Linked DNA regions of Macaca mulatta. The protein of the gene in region 4 purifies or fractionates together with the protein of the main gene of each other region. This does not show direct contact. Links are inferred from orthologs where the notes say so. Each region holds a gene or a part of one and is shown on either strand. Other genes may lie near its edges. The genes, in order: LARP7, RO60, YBX1 and SSB.

What was found.
Region 1: the proteins of SSB (region 4) and LARP7 purify together in Homo sapiens (affinity purification with mass spectrometry; 4 studies listed by BioGRID and IntAct, with this or other methods). This does not show direct contact. The link is inferred for Macaca mulatta from reciprocal best matches to the Homo sapiens genes SSB and LARP7.
Region 2: the proteins of SSB (region 4) and RO60 purify together in Homo sapiens (affinity purification with mass spectrometry; 3 studies listed by BioGRID and IntAct, with this or other methods). This does not show direct contact. The link is inferred for Macaca mulatta from reciprocal best matches to the Homo sapiens genes SSB and RO60.
Region 3: the proteins of SSB (region 4) and YBX1 purify together in Homo sapiens (affinity purification with mass spectrometry; 3 studies listed by BioGRID and IntAct, with this or other methods). This does not show direct contact. The link is inferred for Macaca mulatta from reciprocal best matches to the Homo sapiens genes SSB and YBX1.

What each region holds. Positions count from the first base shown.
Region 1 is NC_133410.1:121,879,601-121,885,181, reverse strand, and holds part of LARP7 (la-related protein 7), read right to left. Parts: intron 3,244-5,581; coding exon 3,084-3,243; intron 2,215-3,083; coding exon 2,123-2,214; intron 1-2,122. UniProt on the Homo sapiens protein: RNA-binding protein that specifically binds distinct small nuclear RNA (snRNAs) and regulates their processing and function.
Region 2 is NC_133406.1:50,601,756-50,607,348, reverse strand, and holds part of RO60 (RNA-binding protein RO60), read right to left. Parts: intron 1,929-5,593; 5' UTR 1,910-1,928; coding exon 1,330-1,909; intron 1-1,329. UniProt on the Homo sapiens protein: RNA-binding protein that binds to misfolded non-coding RNAs, pre-5S rRNA, and several small cytoplasmic RNA molecules known as Y RNAs.
Region 3 is NC_133406.1:198,060,979-198,066,571, forward strand, and holds part of YBX1 (Y-box-binding protein 1), read right to left. Parts: intron 3,951-5,593; coding exon 3,861-3,950; intron 3,533-3,860; coding exon 3,230-3,532; intron 2,999-3,229; coding exon 2,916-2,998; intron 1-2,915. UniProt on the Homo sapiens protein: DNA- and RNA-binding protein involved in various processes, such as translational repression, RNA stabilization, mRNA splicing, DNA repair and transcription regulation.
Region 4 is NC_133417.1:74,715,718-74,721,877, forward strand, and holds the start of SSB (lupus La protein), read left to right. Parts: upstream 1-2,763; 5' UTR 2,764-2,881; coding exon 2,882-3,223; intron 3,224-4,806; coding exon 4,807-4,881; intron 4,882-6,160. UniProt on the Homo sapiens protein: Binds to the 3' poly(U) terminus of nascent RNA polymerase III transcripts, protecting them from exonuclease digestion and facilitating their folding and maturation.

The DNA.
Region 1 (5,581 bases), on a different chromosome or scaffold from region 4:
CTGCCTGAAAAGCGATACTTCTAAACTTTACTGGGGCTTACTCGCTCACTTCCCTACGGGTCTTGGCTGTAACATCACCTTTGCAGACAGCTTTCCAGACAACCTCAGCTGATACAACGCTCTCCTGCAATACACTTTGTTTTATTTTTCTGTGTAGCACTGGTCATCACCTAAACTATAGGGTTTATCTGTTCGCTTCATGAAAGTAGAGGACTTTGTGATTCATGACTTTACCCGAGGTTACAAGAATGGTGCCTAACACAAGGCACTCAAAAAACATTAGTTGAATTAACTAGCAAACAAGTTGGCTAAACTAATTATGGTCTACTCCTTTTTTCCAACAAGCTTTGCACAGCACTTACTTTGTGTGGTAACCTCCATTTCATTTCACAAGAGTCAACTTGCTACTTCCATAGCTACTTAACAAACTGTGTTAACAACAATCCTGACATCATAACTGAGTTGTGTTCCAACTCGATTTAAGAAATTTCCTAGTCAAAGATGAGCTCTAAATTTTTAAAATGAAAAATAAATGATTTATTCCTAGTTTAAAAAATATATACAATCTAAATGAAATTTCACAGCAATTAGAAGGGTATTATTTAACAAAGTGACTTCACTTCAGTTACCAGTTCTGGATCAGTGATTTTAACATTTGAATAATCTCAAACAGGCTTTGAAATTAACACCTCGTATCCCTGAAAGAATCCTTGGGAAGCACAGGCGGCTTCCCCACCACAGCAAGTTCAGTCTCCTTTCAAGGAAACAAAATTCACAAAGACCAGTAAGACACCTCCTCACAAATCACAATAAATTCTGGGCAATGGAAGAAGGTTGATGAAAAATGCTTGCCTTTTAACTTAAAAAAAAAAATTTTTTTTTTTAAAATAAATATGACCCCAAATCAACAACCTTAGATTACAGGAAATAGGACTTTTAAAGTGCTCACCTAACAAAAAAGGAAGTTCATCTTTTTCTTTTTTCTTACACTTTTATTTTTTTTTTTAATTTTTTTTAATTTTTTTTTATTTTTTATTTTTTTTGAGACGGAGTCTTGCTCTGTCGCCCAGGCTGGAGTGCAGTGGCGCGATCTCGGCTCACTGTAAGCTCCGCCTCCCGGGTTCACGCCATTCTCCTGCCTCAGCCTCCCGAGTAGCTGGGACTACAGGCGCCCGCCACCTCTCCCGGCTAGTTTTTTGTATTTTTTAGTAGAGACGGGGTTTCACCGTGTTAGCCAGGATGGTCTTGATCTCCTGACCTCGTGATCCGCCCGTCTCGGCCTCCCAAAGTGCTGGGATTACAGGCTTGAGCCACCGCGCCCGGCCTCTTACACTTTTATAATATCATTTTGAGTGACAGAAAAATAAAATTACTGAAAGAGGGGCTTGCTTTTTTTTTTTTTTTTTTTTTGAGACGGAGTCTTGCTCTGTCGCCCAGGCTGGAGTGCAGTGGCCGGATCTCAGCTCACTGCAAGCCCCGCCTCCCGGGTTCATGCCATTCTCCTGCCTCAGCCTCCCCAGCAGCTGGGAATACAGGCGCCCGCCACCGTGTCCGGATAATTTTTTGTATTTTTAGTAGAGACCGGGTTTCACTGTGGTCTCGATCTCCTGACCTTGTGATCCACCCACCTGGCTGGGGCTTGCTTTAAATTATTTAAGCTTGTTTGTATTACCTACTGACTATCTTAGAGAAAGAGGAATAAAGCTTATCGTTGCTATAGGAAACACTATGCATAAAGTCTCTCCATCTTATCTGTGGAGCTTCCTATCTTTAGAAACTACATTCTAAATATGTTGTGGTTTTACCATTACGATAATCTTTCTATAATCATTTACCACCAAACTACAAGACATAGCAGCCAGAAATCAAGATTGTTAAAGTATCACTAGTTAAAAAGAAAAACTCTAAATTATAATTATGTATCCTTGTGAGAAAAATAATTTCACACATTTTGAAATCTAGAGAAATGACTTTTTCCTCCCAACCTAAAACATAGTATATACTCAGTAAATCTTTGTTAGGTAATAGCAAAGCTAAGATCATTTTATGACTACCTATACTGACTTTGGCATTAAATGTTCAAAGAAAGTTTAGTCTAAAAAAACAAAAATGAATTAATTACCTTTTCAGTGCCTCTTTTCTTTTCCCGAGGCTGATTAAGTTTTGCCTGTCGATCAACCAAAATCTTCTGCCAATACCTTTGTTCGTGATCACCTTAAAAACAAACAAAAACTCTGATGGATGAAAAGAAGAACACATCTGAAAAACCATATTCAAGGCATTACATTCTCAGTAACAGAACTAGGACAGTTTTTGATTATATTTAATGCCACTTTATACATATTACAGAATAGAAATAAAATTATTAGTTTCGTTAGGTGCGGTGGCTGAAACCTCTAATCCCAGCACTCTGGGAGGACAAGGAGGCAGGATCACCAGAGGTCAGGAGTTCGACAACAGCCTGGCCAACATAGCAAAACCCCATCTCTACTAAAAATTGCCTGGTGCAGTGGCTCATGCCTGTAATCCCAGCACTTCAGGGGGCCAAGGCAAGCAGACCACCTGAGGTCGGGAGTTCAAGACAAGACCAGGCTGACCAACATGGAGAAACCCCGTCTCTACCAAAAACATAAAATTAGCTGGGCAAGGTGGCACATGCCTGTAATCCCAGCTAACCTGGGAGGCTGAGGCAGGAGAATCACTTGAAGCCAGGAGGCAGAGGTTGCACTGAGCTGAGATTATACCATTGCACTCCAGCCTGGGCAACAAGAGCGAAACTCTGTCTCAAAAAATAAAATAAAAATATAAAAATTAGCCAGGCGTGGTAACACACGCCTGTAATCCCAAGTACTCAGGAGGCTGAGGCAGGAGAATCACTTGAACCTGGGAGGTGGAGGTTGCGTTGAGTTGAGATCACACCACTGCACTCCAGCCTGAGCGACAGAGTGAGACCAAAAAAAAAAAAAACAACAACAAAAAACAAACAAACAAAAAACAAAACTAGTTTCATTAGCCAAACTCAGAAAATGTTACCCACAATAAGGATGGTTACAAAAAAAAAAAACACTTCTATGAAGTTTTACCAGAAAGGATCTCGAGTTTCCAGCAGTGTTTCTTGCTAATTTCTGTATATGCATTTATTACTGCTTGAGCATCCTCAGGAGTTTTAAATCTAGCATGGCATTCTGTATCCCCTTCAAGCAAATCAACATAAAGAACTTCTGAGATTGCTGCCAAAGTATCCTGCATTAGAATTAAGTAGAAAGACAAATAAAATTTAAAATGTTTCACAATAATTCTAAAACTATTCCAATGGTTATGCCAGAATATATTATGTAAATAAAGCATTTTGCAGACTAATGAGGAGCAAATATCCTATATCAAACATTTCTTGTAAAGCATGTTCTTAAAAATAGATTTGAATAATATCAACTCTAACAATTTATTTTCCTTTATTTTCTTGAAATCACATCCGTAAAATCTGAACTAGAATGGGAATATTCTATAAGGACAACAGATTTGTAGAGCAGAAAGCAGAAATAGTGTCCCCCAATCCCCAAATCAGGAAGGGTTCACATCTGGGAGTAGTTAGTATAAGGAATAAAATTTAAAAAAAAAAAAAAAGGATTAAGGGAGGTTTGTTTTTACTCACCTGCAGAAAATCACTATGACTTTAAAATATGTGTACAAATCACTCAACTTTTAATAACAACTCATGAAAAACAGTTTTACTGAACCTAAGATACTAGGTTTCCAAATTGTTCAAGAGCTCTTACTTTCTGAAAAAAATACCTAAGCAACCTCTTCTAAACAAGTTGTGGTCACCCAGCAAGGAAAAGTTTTACCTACACTGCCTGCTGTGAGGGCAAATTAACCAGATTCCTGCATTCTTAATCAACTTTTTTTTTTTCCCTCACAGCAGGTTTTACAGAGTATACAATGCATTTATGCAGGAATGTTACACTAATTCCTAATTCATCAACTTCCATTCACAAAGCTAAAGAAATAACTGCAGATTCCTAAATGGGGGAAAAAAATCTTTCTTATCTTGCCTCACTTTAGTTTTAACCTACATTTTCAGGACACAACTAATTTAGATTATGTTCAAATGTTGAATTTTTAGATGTTTGATTTATGGAAAGAATTGAGCAATACCTGGGAGTATTATTTCATCATAGAATAAGACAAGTTTATCAGTTAACAATAAAAAATATATAATAAAATCTATGAATTTCTAGAAGCCAGGGACCAGATCTTAACTCATCCCAACACTCAGCAAACTAGCACAAAACAGGCATTTGGTAACTGTTTGCCAAATTAAAAAAAAAAAAAAGAACTGCAGAGACATATACTTGCTAGTCCTTCCCACTTCTTTATCTAATTAATTAGTACCAAATTTAGATATAAAGCAAGTAAAAAATTCAGTATTGTTGAAATTTGAATGCATTCAGTACTAGTAATGAGTTTTATAACTGACTTCTGAGCATATTCAATTACTACAACTCAAAAGATATTTACTAAATATCCATTATAATGTCAGGCTAATCTCTTGATTTAAAACCCTCAGAATTTAAAACCCATAGAAGGACAAATTAGCCTAGTAATCACATGGGCAAGTCACAGACAGCTGTAACCACCATCACAGCTCAGTTTTTGTTTCAGCAAAATGTAAGTAACTACTAACTGGATTAATGCAGGGATTGATTTTATGATTTTGATGATCATAAATGATGAATTTGTAATTGATATAGTTACCATTTAAATAATAAAAGTTATTTAATGAGTGATTACAAATAACTGAGTAATTTTTTTTATTAAATGTTTTGCAATCTGATTAACCAGAGCGGTATTTACATCCCTCAATTTTCAGCTGTCTCCTGAAATGCAAGTTGGTAATAGCAATTTGGATTTGGCCAAATCCTTCACCAATATTGGAAAGAGAATCAAAATTTGTTTCTTAGTGACAGCTATAGGATTGTAGGACAGCATTTCAGATAAGGAGTGCTTACAGATAAACAACCACCTCAATGATATTCAAGTTAAAACCTGTGACTGATGAGTCTATGTGAAACCAAAACAATATACTAAGTGATGATGAATGTCAGTATAAGAAAATACTTAAAATATGTGGTATGTTACAGAGCATTTCACACTTTTTAAAAAGAAAAGGATTGACTTAAATGGGTCACAGGCAGGGTAAGGGTAAATAAGATACGGTACTCTCACATAAAAGTATATACTTACTTTTCCCTAATAGAAAGAAGTATTGCTACCAGTGTGGTATAAAAGGCTATAGAAGATAGACTGTACAAAACGAAAAAAAGATTATAAACCTGTGTGTACAGCAATTTGTAGCGTAAATTATATAGAACTATGGGTTTTTTGGCACATGTGTGAAAGATTTCTATAGGTCTTCAAAAATATTTTACACTTTTCTATAATTACAATTTTAAAGATAATCAGCACATAGGTAATACAAAAAAATAAATCCGTGCCAATAAAAATAAGCAAAAGTTACAATTTTCCTATAAAGAAGGATGTTTAAACTGTGCTTACTATAAAATGGACTCAGTGAAGAATT
Region 2 (5,593 bases), on a different chromosome or scaffold from region 4:
ATATGCAGTTATTTCTTTTGAAGAGTACGACTGCGTCATATTTTTCCATATTATTCAACTATTTTAAAACATGTAATCTAATAAAATCAAAATAAAATGCTTGTACATATAAATACTTGCAATTTATTGTTCACATTTCATTTGAAAAATTCCACTTATAATTAAAATGATAAGTTAGGAATTACTGAAGAGATTCTGTACATAAAGATATGTGTGGAAGGGAGAAAGAACCAAAGTATACTTCTACTATATGTTAGGTGCTGGGACATTTAGTCTCAATAATTGTAAGCTTATTCTCCTTACCCTCCTTTTTAGATGAAGGTACAGAAACTCAGCTTGTTACTTGGCTTAAGGCCACAGAACTGAAACGTGAACCCACCCTTCTGAGTGGCTGTCTTTTCAAGTTTCACTTCTGGTGCAAAAAAAAAAAAAATGTCAAATTTTGTACATGTTGATTTTTGTGGAACTTCACACTTCAAATTACTCCTGCCCAAGAGTTTTTCTTATTTCTTTCCTTAAAAGGACTAGTAATTATTATAGAGTCAACTAACTTTTCAAAAGTCTCTTTCCATAGATACAGAAACACTGCCCCAAGTTATCAGGTCCCCTGACTGACTGCCTGAAAACAATTAACTTCCTGAACTGTTAAGTTCAGCACTGTACAAGGTATATCCCTTTAGGTTCCAAGGAACACATGTCCTAGGAAGATGGGGAGGAAAAAAAAAGAATGGGCTAGAGAAGTGGGTACAGCATGGCCATCTGCCACCTACTGGCAAGGAGCTGTTTTGCTTATTGCACCTTTTTTTTTTTTTTTTTTTTTTTACTTTTCTACTTAGCATTTCATTGGTTACAGAGCAGTTTTCTATACATGATCTTATGGAATAGTTGTGTACAGTTTACCTAAGTTTTACAAACGATTATACTGAGACCAAATTTGAATATCTGCTGAGTAACTGGCAAAGCTGGAACTCAAAAGCAGTTCCTTCTAATGATCGTACCCATATCCAAGGATTATTGCAACTTTTAATCTGTCCATGCTACTTACGCAGTCCATAATCACTTGGGTGAGCATTCCAGTTAGGACAGTGGCACTTTAAGATTCAGATTATTAATCTATAAACCCGTCATTTGATTCTTGATTATTAATGTCTGGATTGCCTGTGGTAGGTGTGTAATCCCAGGAAGGCATTAAACATATTTGAATTAATGCATGTTTTGAGAAAGAAAGGCTATTTCTAGAAAATATTACACACTTATGTTAAATAAAAATTTGCTATTTATTGGATATCCCTTATCCACCCTTGTTCCCAATGAAGATCTTATGCTTACCTTCACTGGAAGGTTTAAGATGTGACAATCTTAATAGATCTTTGTGAGACCAGCCATTTCTCTGTTTATATTTTGTAACTGCCAGAGCAAGGGCCATGCCACCTTTCTCGTTGTACCAGTCCGCGATAGCCTTCCGGAGGGCACGACCCCACATGCCACATTTCATGCTTTCCTTCAGATCTTTCTTAAACTGGATAAAAGTAAAGAGATGGGTAGGAATGCGGCAAACTTCAGAAACAGCTTTAAATGCTGCTTGTTTTGTGCTTATGTCGGAGCACTGGGAACAAATGGCAAGTGCAAAGAGCATAGGCTCTTGCTTTGTGGTTCTGCCTTCTTGACTAAATAACTTTATTTCTTGTATCACTTCACATCCTCTGCCATCTTCAATCAATCTAATTAAAGCTTCAGCATTTTCAAGGCCCAACTTCTGTTCTTTGATATAATAAGTCCCACCTTCAGAACCGAAACATAAGAACCGGTGTAGTCGATTCATGTCAGTGACTTGCCATACATATCCATCCTGAGAATTGGCTATCTGCTTCTCATTCAATGGCTGCATTTGGTTTACGGATTCCTCCATTTTTTTGTCTTTAGGAAACCTATCAAAAAGGCAAAATGTTATTACAACTAGATGGGCACAATAAAATTAAGAAAGGAAAACAAAATGTAGGTTTACTGAAATGTTATTAACTCTTTTAACAACATCTTTTAAGTTCGATAGTTTTTCCTTTAGTACAAAATCAATATAAATGTCCTGAAGAAAAATCAGGAAAGGCAGAAAATGAAAGAAAAAAACCATATCTGAATATTTTGAAATGACTACTGGTAATATCTTAAGTTTTTTTTGTTTTTTTCGTTTTTTTCTTGAGACAGAGTCTCGCTCTGTCACCCAGGCTGGAGTGCAGTGGCTGGATCTCGGCTCACTATAAGCTCCGCCTCCTGGGTTCACGCCATTCTCCTGCCTCAGCCTCCCGAGTAGCTGGGACTACAGGCGCCCACCACCTCGCCCGGCTAGTTTTTTGTATTTTTTTTAGTAGAGACGCGGTTTCACCGTGTTAGCCAGGATGGTCTCGATCTCCTGACCTTGTGATCCGCCCGTCTCGGCCTCCCAAAGTGCTGGGATTACAGGCTTGAGCCACCGTGCCCGGCCGGTATCTTAAGTTTTTTAAATGTTTTTGTTTTATATTCCTATTTTTATAACCTAAAGAAACTGAAAGCCCTTCACAGCAAACAAACAAGATTATAGCCACAGTGGTGTGATAATCAGAAGCAACTGAGGAGTCACCTTTTTGAGATACAGTGTGCTGCTTCAGAGATTAAGCAGGCAGGTCAGTATGGCGTCTTGAGGCCCACACAGAGAATAAAAGAAGGGAGGGAAGCAATAGTAGTGGGTACTAAGAAAGATCGTACTCCTTGAAGGATTGTGTAAACATTTTTGGTTGCCGATCTAACATTCATTCTTCCCCCTTCTCTCTTCTCCTCTTGTTGGCCTCATATCCTTCAAAGGAGGCTAGGCCTTTCCCTAGCCCCAAGGGATGGATCTTTATTGCTCTAAGCCAGTGGTTCTCAAACTCAGTGTACATCAAAATTACTAGAAGTTCTTACTGAAACACAGATTGCTGGGTCAGCCCTCCCAGGCACTGCCCTGAGTTTCTTTCATAATTTAGTAGGTCTCCAGTGAGGCCTAAGCATGTATACTTATCACAAGTCTCGGGTGATGCTGCTGCTGCTGCTGCTCGACCCAGGCCCAATAATCATGGTGCTCTCCTTGCCGCATGACTGGTATAGGGAGTTGGGCATGTGTCATGACTCTGGCCAGTACGACATGGTAAATCAGCTTTACCATGGTAAAGCTGGTAAAATCATGGTAAAATCATGGTAAAGAACACTTTTGAGGTTTTCTTCATTCTCAAAAGGGGGCTCAGGCTCTTAAAAAGAAATGTTCCCTTTTCTGCCTTCTGAAATTTTCATTTGCAAGTCATGCCTGGAGTGGTAACAACCATCTTGAGACCTTGAGATAAGCCAGCTTAAAATGGCACACCAATATATAAAGATGGCAGAATAGAAAAAAACAGAAAGTACCTAGGTCCTTGATATTGGGTTACCTGAAACTGCCCTGCTTATACATTTCCTATTATGTCATAAATGTATCTTACTGTTTAAGCCATTTTTAGGTTTATTGTTTTATGTCATCTGTAACTACCCTCACTCTACTCCTTCCATTAGCTCTAAAACTCCTAGAACTAGCTATCTGGAAACAATATCCCTCTTTATCCTTCTAGTGGAGGACCAACAATTGTCACTTCATCATCAGTCCACCACTATTCTTAGTACAGTATCACTGTTTATGGAGGTCTTTCAATCTGTCATGTTATTTCGGTGCACTGGGCTTCTGTCCATGGCAAACAAAACAGCACAACCAACAAAAACTTCAACCAGCATTTACTGAATAGATACTATGTGTGAGACATGAAGGCAATTTCTCTGCCATTAAAGAAACTGAAAAAAAAAATTGTTCTCCTTATCGCAGGGAAATACACTCATTTGTGGAGATAGAATCACAATGCAAACTGTAATTAAGTGCTGTAGTAGAAAAGTATTATGAGTGAGCAAGGGAGTATAAAATAATACTGTCTAAATAATCCAGAAAGATTTGAGGAGAGAAGGCAAACTAAAAAACTGATAAAGTTTAGGGAAGGCGCTCCAGGAAGAGGTTTCTGAAATCCTAATCTGTCTTTATATTCTAGAAAAGAAACTGTCTAAGCATCCTGTAGAGCCATACAGACATGTTGACAGATATGGCCATAACTTAAAGAGGAACACAAGGTAATTAAGAAGTTTTGTTTTGAAGACCATCCTTACTTGAACATGTTTATATATTACGAGGAAGGCTAAGGATAAAATCTTGGTGAATATTAACAACTAAGAGCTAATGAGAGAAGGGCTTTTTAAAGAGGCAGAAAAGGAGGTGCAGAGTTGAAGAAAACTAATGGACCACGAGGAAGAGAACTTCAAGGAGTGAATGGTTGATAATTTCAAATGGTCAGAGGAAAAGTAAATAAAAGGCTAGAAAATGATCTTGGATTTACCAAGTAGGAGTGACTAGTGAGAGTAACTGCAGTAGAGTGGTACAAGAAGTAGCTTGATTACAGTGAGATCAGGAAGATATGCAGTGAGGAAACTTCACAGCTAGACTACTCTTTGTAGACACAAAAACTATGAATGAAAGTAAGAGAGAGGATGGGACTTAGAGGAAAAATCTTTTTACCTTTTTCAACGGGAAGATGCTAAGATTGAAAGATTCAATTTGGAGAGGTGAAGATACAGTAGAGAAGGGGGATAACTGAAGGAATTAGATTCCTGAAAGAAATGAGACAGAATGAGCTTAGAGCATCCAGGTTGAGACTGGCCTACTAACAGCAAAAGAGATACTTCCTTTATCTTTTAAGGGTGAAGAGTATATGTAAAGAGAGATTTGAGGGAGTGAGGGATAAGGAAATTGAAGACATTCCCCTCTGACAGGAGATGTAGAATGCCAAATGGTATGTGGAGAAATTTGGTAGAGATGGGAGGAATGAAAGACTGGGTCTCAGAGAGGGGAACACATAGTGGTGTAGGGGGATAAGTGCATGGAAGAATGGAGAACCTCACATTGTGAATGTGACTGTGACTGAGGGGTACAGTGATCTGAATTGTGTTGGGAATATTAGTGTCAATATTCCAAATAAGATTCTAGTACAAATTTGCTTATGTTAGTGGAAGCCTGGGTCTCAGGTGGTATCAGAGATGTAATGATCATATTAGTCATTAGGGACAAATTTGTAGTTACTGAATACAGCACAGGCTGGAACTCCTGGTGTAGTGGATGCCTCTTCTTCTATTTATTATTATCCTCTTTTCAATTTAGCTTTTATCTCTACCTTTCGATCCAAAACACTTTAAGAAGACTAACATGCTTCACAAAGACTGATACCTTAATTGCCAATTCCAGTAGAAAATGCTATGTTTTTCTGATCTTCACATTGCATAGACTCTGCTAGTCTCTCCCTTAGCTTTCATAAAAACAGTCTCTGGTGGCACTTCAACCTGTCTACTTCTACTTATTAGTTATATTTGTTAGATGAGTAACACTGAAATGACATCTAATATCAGATAATTCTACTACACCTGCTTTCCTGCACCAAGGACCAACTGGTGGGATTTAAAAGGTCCCAAACCAAACCTCAAAATTCCCTTCCCCTTCAAATTCTTTTCTTTGTATTAT
Region 3 (5,593 bases), on a different chromosome or scaffold from region 4:
ACCCTGAGCACTCCAGAAAGCCCCAGGCCTTTAGTATCTATCAGTTATCATGGGAATAAATTCACATTTACCTTTGTACATTCTAAAACTCTTTCCCCACATCTTTTGGAACTCATGATGAATCTTCAACAAAATTGTTCTGACTTTTCTCTGTAACCCTCCAGTGGTGACTGTTCTAACCTTATTGTGGCTTCTAAATCAACTCTCCTAGCTTCTAAAAACTGTAGGCGTTCCATCTTATTTTGGATTCTGCTCCATTTACTATCTTTTTCTTATTGCAGTTATTATTAAGGTTCGAGGATAACAACTTCTAATAACCTGGGCTTTCAGACCGACCTCCCAGTCCAGCTGTTTTCTACCTGGGTTTTCTCAGTTATACCACCCACCTTTCCAATTATGTACCTTCTGATTTTTCCTAGTTAATTCCTTATTGTTTTCTCATTCTTCATCTAGGACCTGTAATACAGCGATCCTATCACCTGTTCATCTCACTCCAAGGTTGGGCACAGTGGCTTACACCTGTAATCCTAACACCTGGGGAGGATCACTTGAGGGCAGTTCAAGACTGCTTGAGTAACACAGTACAACTCCATGTCTACAACACAATTTTTAAAAACCCCTCATGTTCCCCTTTTCTCCCCTCTTTATCCAAGTATAAAGTCCACCATTAATCATATGACCAATCCCTACCCCAGGGTCTAAGTCTGGATAAACCAATGCCAGAGAAATCCAACTCTCTGCCCAATCTGAGCCTGATGCTCAAATGGCTAGAAACACAGAGCCAAGCTGGGTGAACTCACTTCTAATTTATGATTGTTATCCTATTACTTACAAATTTACCATCTCTATTTTCTCTGCTACAGGGTTCTTTGCCCCAAACTTTTCAAACTTCCTCTTCTTTTGACTCAATTGAGCAAACAAAGGCTTCCATGTCTTCCCATTAAACATGTTTGCCCATGTATTCTTGTTTCTTACACATGAAAACATCAGGTTTCTAACAACAGGTCAACATTTTCACCTGTGGGCAAAACCCAACTCGCTCTGAGGAAGAAAACATTCCAGCAGTCACTTTCCTGCCATCAACCGTTATCCTCGATTGCATTTCAGCCTATAAATATTATTTCTCAAAAAAAACCCTCCCTTTTTCACTCCCCATTTTCCCCTACTACCTGTCTCCTTTTCAGCAAAACTTGTACTACACTCTGTCTTAAGACTTCTCTTTCAATTTGCTCTTGAACCCACACCAGCCAGGATTTTACCACACCACTCCATGCATTAGGCGCAGCATGTTTCATTTACTCTCATTTGAACAAAAGATTCCTGCAGAGTTTGGAAAGTCTAGCATTCATTAATAACTTCAAAGCAATTATATGTTACTTCTGCTAACTATCTGGCAGGATTGAGCATTCTAAACATGGAAACACGTAGACATTAAGTCTAACTTAAATGAAATGGCAAAAACCTTTGCACTGGAGGGGTAACAATGGATAAAGATACCTTTCTAAGAGACAAGTCAATCTCAAGCTTCTTGTTTGTCAATATAAAAACAATTTGCTCAACAGTGAACTGAAGTACTGAATACAAACACAAAATTATACTATTTTTAAGGACATCTATGAAACTAGTTTGGCAAAACATTTAAGCTCTTCAGTGTAATAAAAAGGTAAACCAAAGATTCTGCTGCTGGAACCCATGGACTTAATACATGAGAGCCTATTTTAGATCTACTTTGAAAAATAAAAACCCATCTATCTTCAACATCCAGCATCTGGCTAACACAATCTCCTGGCAGAAAACTGAATCAGAGATCTTCAATTCTAGTAGTGATCAGTTAGGATCCCAGCTCTTTTAACTGAAAACTCAGGACAGGACATATATTAACACAAGAAATATGATGACATCAGCTGCTCTTGCAAAACTCTCAATGTACACGTGCTGATAAGTATGTAATACAACCTCAACTAGATTCCCTAGTTCCTAAAACTACACTAAGTGCTCCGACTTTTGTAAAATTTAAAAACCTATATACAGAAACCCCCTCAAAATATACTCACAGTATATTTTGGATATGTTGGATACTTCTAGAATAATAAACTTGACACTTAAAAATTTGGGGATTTAAAAGTTGTGATTTAAGTGATCAGTTAAGATGCATTATTACTGTATTGGTTTGATTCTTCAGAGGTACCTGTCAGATTTTAGGGATCACCTATGAAAACTTAATACTTCAATAGCAAACCCTCACAGAAAGAACGATTACACCATTCTATCCTACCATCGTGGGACTGGGAACGCTGCCTTAAAGCACACCACAGCATGGACTAAAATACGCTTGGCTCACGGAATTTTTCCTCCATTACTCTAATAATGACATCTATTAATAAGATTTCTAATACCCATTCAAGCAGATAGATTAGTTGTCTAATGATAGACCAGATTTTTCCTCCCAGAATGTAAATTCTTCATGGAGCAATTTCATTTTGCAACTTTGAGCTGACATCCCAACTCCAAAAAAAGGGGGGGTACATACCTAAACTAAGAATTAGTGGAAGATTATGTATGCCATTTCAAGTGGTTAACACTTACTGCTGATTCTTCACTAATGCCATGGTACAATTCAGATACTCCTAATGCTTTCCTTTCTCCCTACCAAGGAGGCAGGTTTAAAAGACGTGGTTTAAAATATTATCTTACCTGTTCAAGGATAGAAAATTTGAAATTCCATACCCTCATCATTTAAAAAAAAAAAATTTATGTATAAAGCTGACCTCATCTATATGAGCTGTTTTTAACAGGTTCACCTCTTAGGCATCTGATGAAAGGAAACGTGAAGTGTTAACAGAAAAATGAGTCCAAAAGTCTGCGGGAGAGGCATGATATTGCTGAGTTCTAACAGAGGTTTATGTGGACCATACCTGCGGAATCGTGGTCTATATCCCCGATACATATTCTGCCTCACTGGTCTACCTTGTTCTCCTGCACCCTGGTTGTCAGCACCCTGAAAAAGATAATGGAAATCAAGGCTACTGGGTCAGTAACATAATAACCTTACCAGGAAATCCAGAGTTAAAAAACAAACAAAAAATCAGACCATCTAGTAACTGTGACTACACTATAAATTAATCCTGTTAGTTCTTACTAGGAATCAAAGGTGCTTTCCATATGATTAACAGCTCTAAACAGTCCTACCAGAACTTATCACATTGCTGTTGCTGATGGTGAAACTTACCTCCATCACTTCTCCCTGCACAGGAGGGTTGGAATACTGTGGTCGACGCCCATAGGGTCTCCGCATGTAGTAAGGTGGGAACCTTCGCCTGCGGTAGGGCCGGCGTTGTTGGGCCTGGCCTTCGGGAGCACTCTCCGATCCCTCGTTCTTTTCCCCACTCTCACTATTCTGGTAATTTTGCTGGTAATTGCGTGGAGGACCCCTACGACGTGGATAGCGTCTATAATGGTTACGGTCTGCTGCATATTTACTGCCTTGAACTGGAACACCACCAGGACCTGTAACATTTGCTGCCTCCGCACCCTACAAAAGCCATTACATATTGATAGTGACAAAGGAAATCAGAACACTTTCAACAAATTTCAAACAAAGCAAAAAACAAAGTTAAGGAAAACAAAAAGGGGGGTGGGCGACTGCGTGGCCAGGGGTGCACAGAAATGACTAAATATCAGTTCCTCACTGTTCTGAAGAGATTGCCCTCTAACTGCAGCCAGAACATTAGGCTTGATGCACCTGTGTTCATGAGGTCACCTGAACACATCCATCCACATTAGAGCCACCATCCTAACAGATGAGACCTCCAAAATATTTCCATACTGAAGTCAAACCTTTACACAAAAAGCATCCTCACCTTTTCTCCTTCAACAACATCAAACTCCACAGTCTCTCCATCTCCTACACTGCGAAGGTACTTCCTGGGGTTATTCTTCTTTATGGCAGTCTAGTAATATCACATTCCAAAAACAGATTAACAGGGGAGAATAATGTGCTTTTTCATTTAAAATGTACCAGAGTCAATATTATTTTAGCTTGGATATACACTTAAGATTTGCTTTAAATAAGACCAAATCATCAATAAATTTGGGAAAGCAGGGACCACGCTATCCCCAACTTCAACAAAAACACTCCAATCATACAAGGCCCCAGCATTTTACCACTATTTACAAAACTAAAACAAGTAATTTAACACTCAAGACAGACACAACATTTTAAAAACTGCTTTTTGCAAAAGCATTATATGTAATTTTGAACAAATGAGGATCTCCATCTATCCCCTAAAGACTGCACTTAATAGTAGAAGGTGGCCCCACATGGGTCAGTTTAGATGACAGGCGAGTTGGGTTTTGCATGCTTCACAGCTGACCAAACCAACTTTGCCCCTGTGTTACCATATCAAACTCAATTACAAATGTCAACCCAAATCCCTTCCAATCTGATAATACGTCAGTGGAAATGCAATTCACGTGTATTAACTATGTCATTCTTTATATGATCTGACTGCATGGAATTGTTACTTATCACCTCTCCAGCATTCAATAAATCTTGTATTAGAGACTTGTTGCTTCTACTTCTCAGACTGTTAGGAGAAGGGAGGAAGAGTAACATCTCACGTTTCTATGAAATTTTTTTGCAATATTCTTTCACTTACTACCTATTCAATCTCATTATGAGACAGGACATGTGAAAGTATTGTTAATCCCATTTTACAGATAATGTAACAGGCTTTAAAGTTAGGTGACTTGCCCAAGGTCACACAGTTAGTAAGGAGACTTTCTAAACCCAGGTATTGGGTCTCCAAATTCCATGTTCACTCCAAATCCCAGCTATATCCATTACAGGATCACTCACGCATTTCCACTGCAGAGGAGACAGGACAACCAACGAATCTGAGGCCAATTAAGTGAAGCTGCCCAGAACTGCAGTCTCCTTGATACACCACTAAGACCTGAGCAGCCAAAGTCCCAGGAAACAACTACATGTTGAAACCACTTCCAAAAAAATGAAAGCTATTGGTGGCACCTTGTGAATCAGTACAACCGGGTGAGTTGAGTCAAATAATTGATCTCATCTGTCATTTAAACTGTCACATAGTTTTCATACCTTTCATATATAGCCAACTATCAATTACCTGCAGTCATAGGGGATAGCAGAAGTACGGATAATTAAAATCCCAACTCTTTATTTTTATCAACATCTCCAACCCCTGCCCCAACCCCAACCCTTAAGGGTTGCCAACAGGCAACAAGACTGATAAACTTTGCTGTCTCTTGTTCCTAAGTCTACATATTCTTTTGAACATGTAGAAGGGGAATAAGGAACAGGTGAGCTGTGTTCACCCAAACAAGAATACCAATTTTATAAAACATTTGCTTTAAAATAACATTTGTCTGAAGTAGTCCTGTATTTATCTACATTTAGAATTTTAAATGTTTCCATAATTAAAATTGACCCTGAACTACCTGATTGGGTTGTGGATGTACTAGAAATTGATACAGCTTCCTCCTTGCCATTGAATGCTGTGTAGGACACTTCAGTGAGCTACAAAGCACCAACCTATGACAGCCCTTCCTATGAAACATGCTG
Region 4 (6,160 bases):
TACTGTAAATGAAACGTGAAGCTTCCTGGTCTGCCACCAGGAATTCATTTTCCTTAAAGGATGTGTCTGCAGGGAGCTCAGCTTCTGGAAGGGAATGAGGGAGAAAAAGAAAAGATAAGAAAAGGGTCAGACGCGGTGGCTCATGCCTGTAATCCCAGTACTTCAGGAGGCTGAGGCGGGTGGATCACCTGAGTCCAGGAATTTGAAACCAAACTGGCCAACCTGGCCAACATAGCGAAGCCCTGAATCTACTAAAAATAAAAAAATTAGCCAGGTGTGGTGGCAGGCACCTGTAATCCCAGCTACTCAGGAGGCTGAGGCAGGAGAATCACTTGAATCTGGGAGGCAGAGGTTGCCCTGAGCCGAGGTGGTGCCACTGCATTCCAGCCTCGGCGACAGAGGGAGACTGTCTAAAAAAAAAGAAAAAAGAAGAAGAAAGAAAACGAAAAACAAAACAAAAGACAAGAAAGGGAGAGCAAAGGACCAGGTACCTGATGAGAACATGAAATAAATGTTTTTAGCAGGTGTGATTTCTGATAATAGGCTGTACCTGCAGTTCTGCCTAGATGTTGTGGGGCATAAAGAAGCAGATATATTTGTTTAGGTAGCTCTGTCTCTAGGCAGAGTCTGGCTCTTCTTTCTATTCCCAGTGTTAAGCCTCCAGGACATTAACAGGTATGTAATAAATAGTTTGCTGAATGGATGAATGAGAGTACCCTGACACTCATATTATTTGTTCTGTTAAATACGTGTATTCTCACTGACTTGATCAAAACAAGAATGAAGATTTCAATTGTGTCTGGCATAAAATAGAGACTAAATATTCGTTGAGTGGATAAAAGATAATCTAATTAATTTGAATTTAAACTACCTGAGCACAACGCTGTTAAATATGTTTTTTCTCATTGACCTTAAGAAAAGAAAAAGAGCCCAGAGCAGTCTGAACTATGTGAGGTATGCAGAATTTATCAGGCACAGCGAGAGATGAGTTTGGGACTTCAGTCATGTCCCTACACCCCTGTATTAGTCAGGTCTCACACTGCAATAAAGACATACCCAAGACTGGTTAATTCATAAAGAAAAGAGGTTTAATTGACTCACAATTCCGCATGTCTGGTGAGTCCTCAGGAAACTTACAATCATGGTGGAAGGGGAAGAGGCATGTCTTACACAGTGGCAGGTGAGAGGGAGCAAGGAAGAGCAAGGAAAACTGCCTTATAAAACCACCAGGAGAACAGCATGGGGGAAACCATCCCTGTTACGTGGGTCCGTGTGAAGAGACCACCAAACAGGCTTTGTGTGAGCAACACGGCTGTTTATTTCACCTGGGTGCAGGCGGGCTGAGTCCGCAAAGAGAGTCAGCGAAGGGAGATAAGGGTATGGCTGTTTTATAGGATTTGGGTAGGTAAAGGAAAATTACAGTCAAAGGGGGGTTGTTCTCTGGTGGGCAGGAGTGGGGGGGTCACAAGGTGCTCAGTGGGGGAGCTTTTTGAGCCAGGATGAGCCAGGAAAAGGAATTTCACAAGATAATATCATCGCTTAAGGCAAGGACCGACCATTTTCACTTCTTTTGTGGTGCAATGTCATCTGTTAAGCCGAGGCAGGGCATTTGCACTTCTTTTGTGATTCTTCAGTTACTTCAGGCCATCTGGGTCTATACGTGCAAGTCACAGGGGATGCGATGGCTTGGCTTGGGCTCAGAGGCCTGACAATTCCCATGATCCAATCACCTCCCACCATGTGTGTGGTTCCTCCCCTCCACACTTGGGGATTATGCGGATTACAATTTGAGATGAGATTTGTGTGGGGACAGAGAACTAAACTATATTAATCACCATGCTTGGGGGGCAATTGTTTAACGTCACTATGTTTCTTACTACCTGCTTCATCCATTTTCATGTTCTTGGAATTTGTGATACAAAGAACAATGTATAGCCAATCAATAGCTTATGTTATTGTAATGTAAATTATTGGTAAACAACTTAGGAATTGCCTCTTCTTTTTTCTTTAAAAATCTACTTGTAAGGGCTGCTAATCAGAGCATATATTCAGAGCAATTTGAATCCATGCTCTCACGTGGCAGTCCTCAAACTTGGCTCAAATAAACTGTCTACTTATACTAATTTTGCCTCAGTTTTTCCCTTTAGGTTGACAATATTGCATCAAGTTGAATACTTACAGCAATTGTATGAACTAGGTAGTATTTATTATTGGTCCTATTTATACCTGAGGAACACAGAAGTTGAACAACTTGCCCGAGATCACAGTTTCACAGCAGGAGGAGGACCATTATTTGAAGCAGGCAGTCTGATTCCAGACACCCAGTTTTTACACGCTGTACTGTACTGTCTTCAAAACTGAGATTACATGGATCTTTGATTTTTTTTTAAAATTTCACTTGTCCTTTTTTTTTTTTGAGAACTACTACACGATATGTGTGTGTATTCACACACATCTTTGGAAAAGATCTGAAGAGAAACCCAAAACACTTCATATGAATGGAGGGCCAAAGGAAGGGCTGGGGTACAGACGCCGTCCAGAAATACTTAAAAATAAATGTTTATACTAACACAAACTAGCAGCCATTCCCCTATACCCTGCGGTACTTTTTAACCCAATCTGTTTGCGATTGAGGGCGGGGACTCCAGGGTCCCTGGGAGGCCCCGGCAGTCGCGCATGCTCAGAGCACAGGGACCGCTCCAGCTCGTCCTTGGCCCCGCCCACCCAGGCCGCAAGGGCTGCTGGGACGGTCCCCATCTTCTTGGAGCGCTTTAGGCCGGCCGGCGGAGCTGGGAAGTGGAGTCGTTGGTGTTCCTGTGTGTGAGCCTGTGGCGCGGCTCTGTGGGCCGGAACCTTAAAGGTGAGCAATTCTTGGTGGCTAATGAGAAGCTACAATAAGGGCCCGCTTTGCTGGTGCGCGACTGCGCGTTTTCGTTCCTTACTGCTTCTCGCGGCGTCCGTCCTTCCCTCGCCTTCCTCACGTTCAGGCCGAGCGCCGCGTGGGCCTCAGCCGGAGGCGGCGGAGCGGAGGGGGCGCGGGCGGCGGCGAGGCCGCCCCCGCGAGGAATGCGGGATCCTGGGGTTCCCCGCATGTGGCTGGTGCCCAGGCAGTTCCGCGGTTGCTGAGAGACGGGACTGTGGCTGCCCCCATCCCCACTGCGTCTTTTCGGTTTTTTTTACCTCCACCGCGTTCTGGTCTCACCGAAGGCTTCTGGCCATCTCTGTAAGTTTCTGCGGAGGTGGTTACGGGTAAACGTCGGAGGATTCTGTGGAGCCTATGGGACTGACTGGAGGCCAAAGAACTTTGGGCCGCAGATGTACCCCAGTGTCACTCTTGGTCTGTTAGGGCCTTCATCGCTCACATCAGGTTTCGGTGTGAAACGGGAAAACGTGGGTAATATTTCACTTACAGTCGTGCATTCTGGAAAATTATCTGATGAAGCGCATTTCCAAAATTAGGCCAAATAGATTTTGCAAGTTCTAAATAGTTCTTTTATTTCATCGTTTGCTTTGTAGGGGCCTCTAGATCACTGTGGTAACTTAGGAGTGTAAATTGTGATAGACAAGACAATGCATGAAATTGAATAATTTCTCTAGGGGGATGTGGATCACGCAGTACCCCGTTGCAAGTGCTTCCTATGTGTATCCAGGGTAGCGAATGCAATTGCAGTGTGTCAGGCGATGTTTCCAAGAAGTGTACCTACATCAGTTCATAACTAGAGTCAACTAATGGCAATATTCTTGATAATTTGTTCACATAACTTTTGTACAATTGGGATGACTGGGTGACTTAGTAGAGTCCTAGAGGCAAGTACTTTGTAATTAGAAGACTTGGTTTGTAATTTCTAGCAAACCAATAGCACAGCCTCCTTTTTTTCCTGCAATGCTAATGTCAGGAATACGAAACAGGAAACTGGCTATCCAATGTATTAGTAAATTAGTAGGCATACTCCCCAGTTTAATGTTTTGCTAGTGTGACCACATTCTCCCATTTTTGTTTTCGTGTGTTCCTGAGCATAGAGTATCTAAGGAACTGTAACGTTTTTCACCTTAAAAGTTATAATACAAGGTTTGGGTAAGTCAGTTGTGACTGCATTTTAAAAGAAATAAGGCCGGGCGCGGTGGCTCACGCCTGTAAACCCAGCACTTTGGGAAGCCGAGGCGGGTGGATCGCCTGAGGTCAGGAATTCAAGACCAACCTGACCAACATGGTGAAACCCCGTCTCTACTAAAAATACAAAAATTAGTCAGGCGAGGTGGCGGGTGCCTGTAATTCTAGCTACTCAGGAGGCTAAGACGAAAAAATCACTTGAACCTGGGAGGCGGAGATTGCAGTGAGTCGAGATCGCGCCATTGCACTCCAGCCTGGGCAACAAGAGCGAGACTCCGTCTCCAAAAAAGAAAAAAGAAAGTGAACCAAACCAAACAAGTGTACAGCGAGCCATGGTGACATACTGACAGATATCTGTTTAAAGCTGGAAATGGTTAGTAAGTGATTGGAGTTTTTTTCCGTAAATCTTTCTTGACCAGCCAAGTGAGATAAACAGTTTCTTGTTATAGAAGATGGGGTAGTGATTTACTGAAAGAGAGAGAGGTTTTTTATAGTTTTTAGATTTTTTCATCACTTATTCCAAAGTGTTGCTTCGTTGAGATATTTGAGAATTGAGTAAATAAACAACCTGTGAAAACAGAAATTCCTGATTTTTTAAGAAAACAATGGGATAGTAATACTTTGTAAACATTCTCTTTCTAGTCTTGAGTTTTATATAAAAAAATAACTTTATGCTAATTTGGGAAATTTTACAGATAGCCACAATGGCTGAAAATGGTGATAATGAAAAGATGGCTGCCCTGGAGGCCAAAATCTGTCATCAAATTGAGGTATGATTCCTGTGCTATAAACTGCAAAAACAAGTTCCTTGAAAGAAAATGTAGGACCGCAACACAAATACAGAAAGAACATTTCATTTCAGTATATGGACATATTCAACATTTGGTTTGCCTTTGATTCTTAGATGAACATATAATAGCATACAGTTTTATACTGGTGGAGCCAGGTTGTGAAACTTAAGATGTTACAAACATTTCAAAAGGTAACACTATAAACTAGTTACTTAATCTTTTTAAAATTTTAGTTTCATAGTCTCATATAAAATTTTAGCTTCTTAGTCCCATGTAAAATGAGGATAATAGTAGTTCCCTCCTCATAAGGTAGTTTGGAGGATTAGTGAATATAATGTTAAGTACTTAGAAGAATGCCTGACACATAAGTAACATAAAAGTCCTTGGTAAAGTACCTTCCCTGTTAAATAACACTATATTTTTGATGATCTTCGTAGTTTTTTTCTGCCCAGTCAGTTCTCAGCTATTGTAACTTTAATATAGTATTTTTTTTTTTTTGAGCTGGAGTCTCACTCTGTTGGCCAGGCTGGAGTGCAGTGGCACTATCCTGACTCACTACAACAGTCTCGGCTCACTGTAGCCTCTGCCTCCTGGGTTCAAATGATTATCCTGCCTCAGCTGCCAAATAGCTGGGACTACAGGAACACGCCACCACACCAGGCTAATTTTTGTATTTTTAGTAGAGACGGAGTTTCACCATGTTGGCCAGGTTGGTCTCGAACTCCAGACCTCAGGTGATCTGCCCACCTCAGCCTCCCAAAGTGCTGGGATTACAAGTGTGACCCACTGTGCCTGGCCAGTAATTTTAATATAGTATCTGTTTTCAAACTCCTCTTAGCATTTTTTCAAATTTAGGTATTATGTTTATGTTAACGTAATAACCTCAAGTGATCCTCAGTACCTTTGCAGTACGGAGGCAGGAGGATGGCTTGAGTCCAGGAGTTAGAGACCAGCCTGGGCAACATGATGAGGCCCCATCTCTACAAAAAATTTTTAAAAATTAGCTGAGTGTGTTAGCGGTTTGCCTGTAGTCCCAGCTACTTGGGAAGCCGAGGTGGGAGGATTGATGGAGCCCAGAAGGTAGAGGCTGCAGTGGCTGTGATCATACCACTGCACTCAAGCCTGGATGACAGAGTGAGATACTGTTTTGGGGGGTCAGGGGGAAGAAACTTGAGAGTCTTTGTGAGCATACTCTGGCTGGGGAGGCTTCCTGATTTGCAAATCGTTCTTTGTTCAGTTAAAGTCAAAAAGAAAAAAA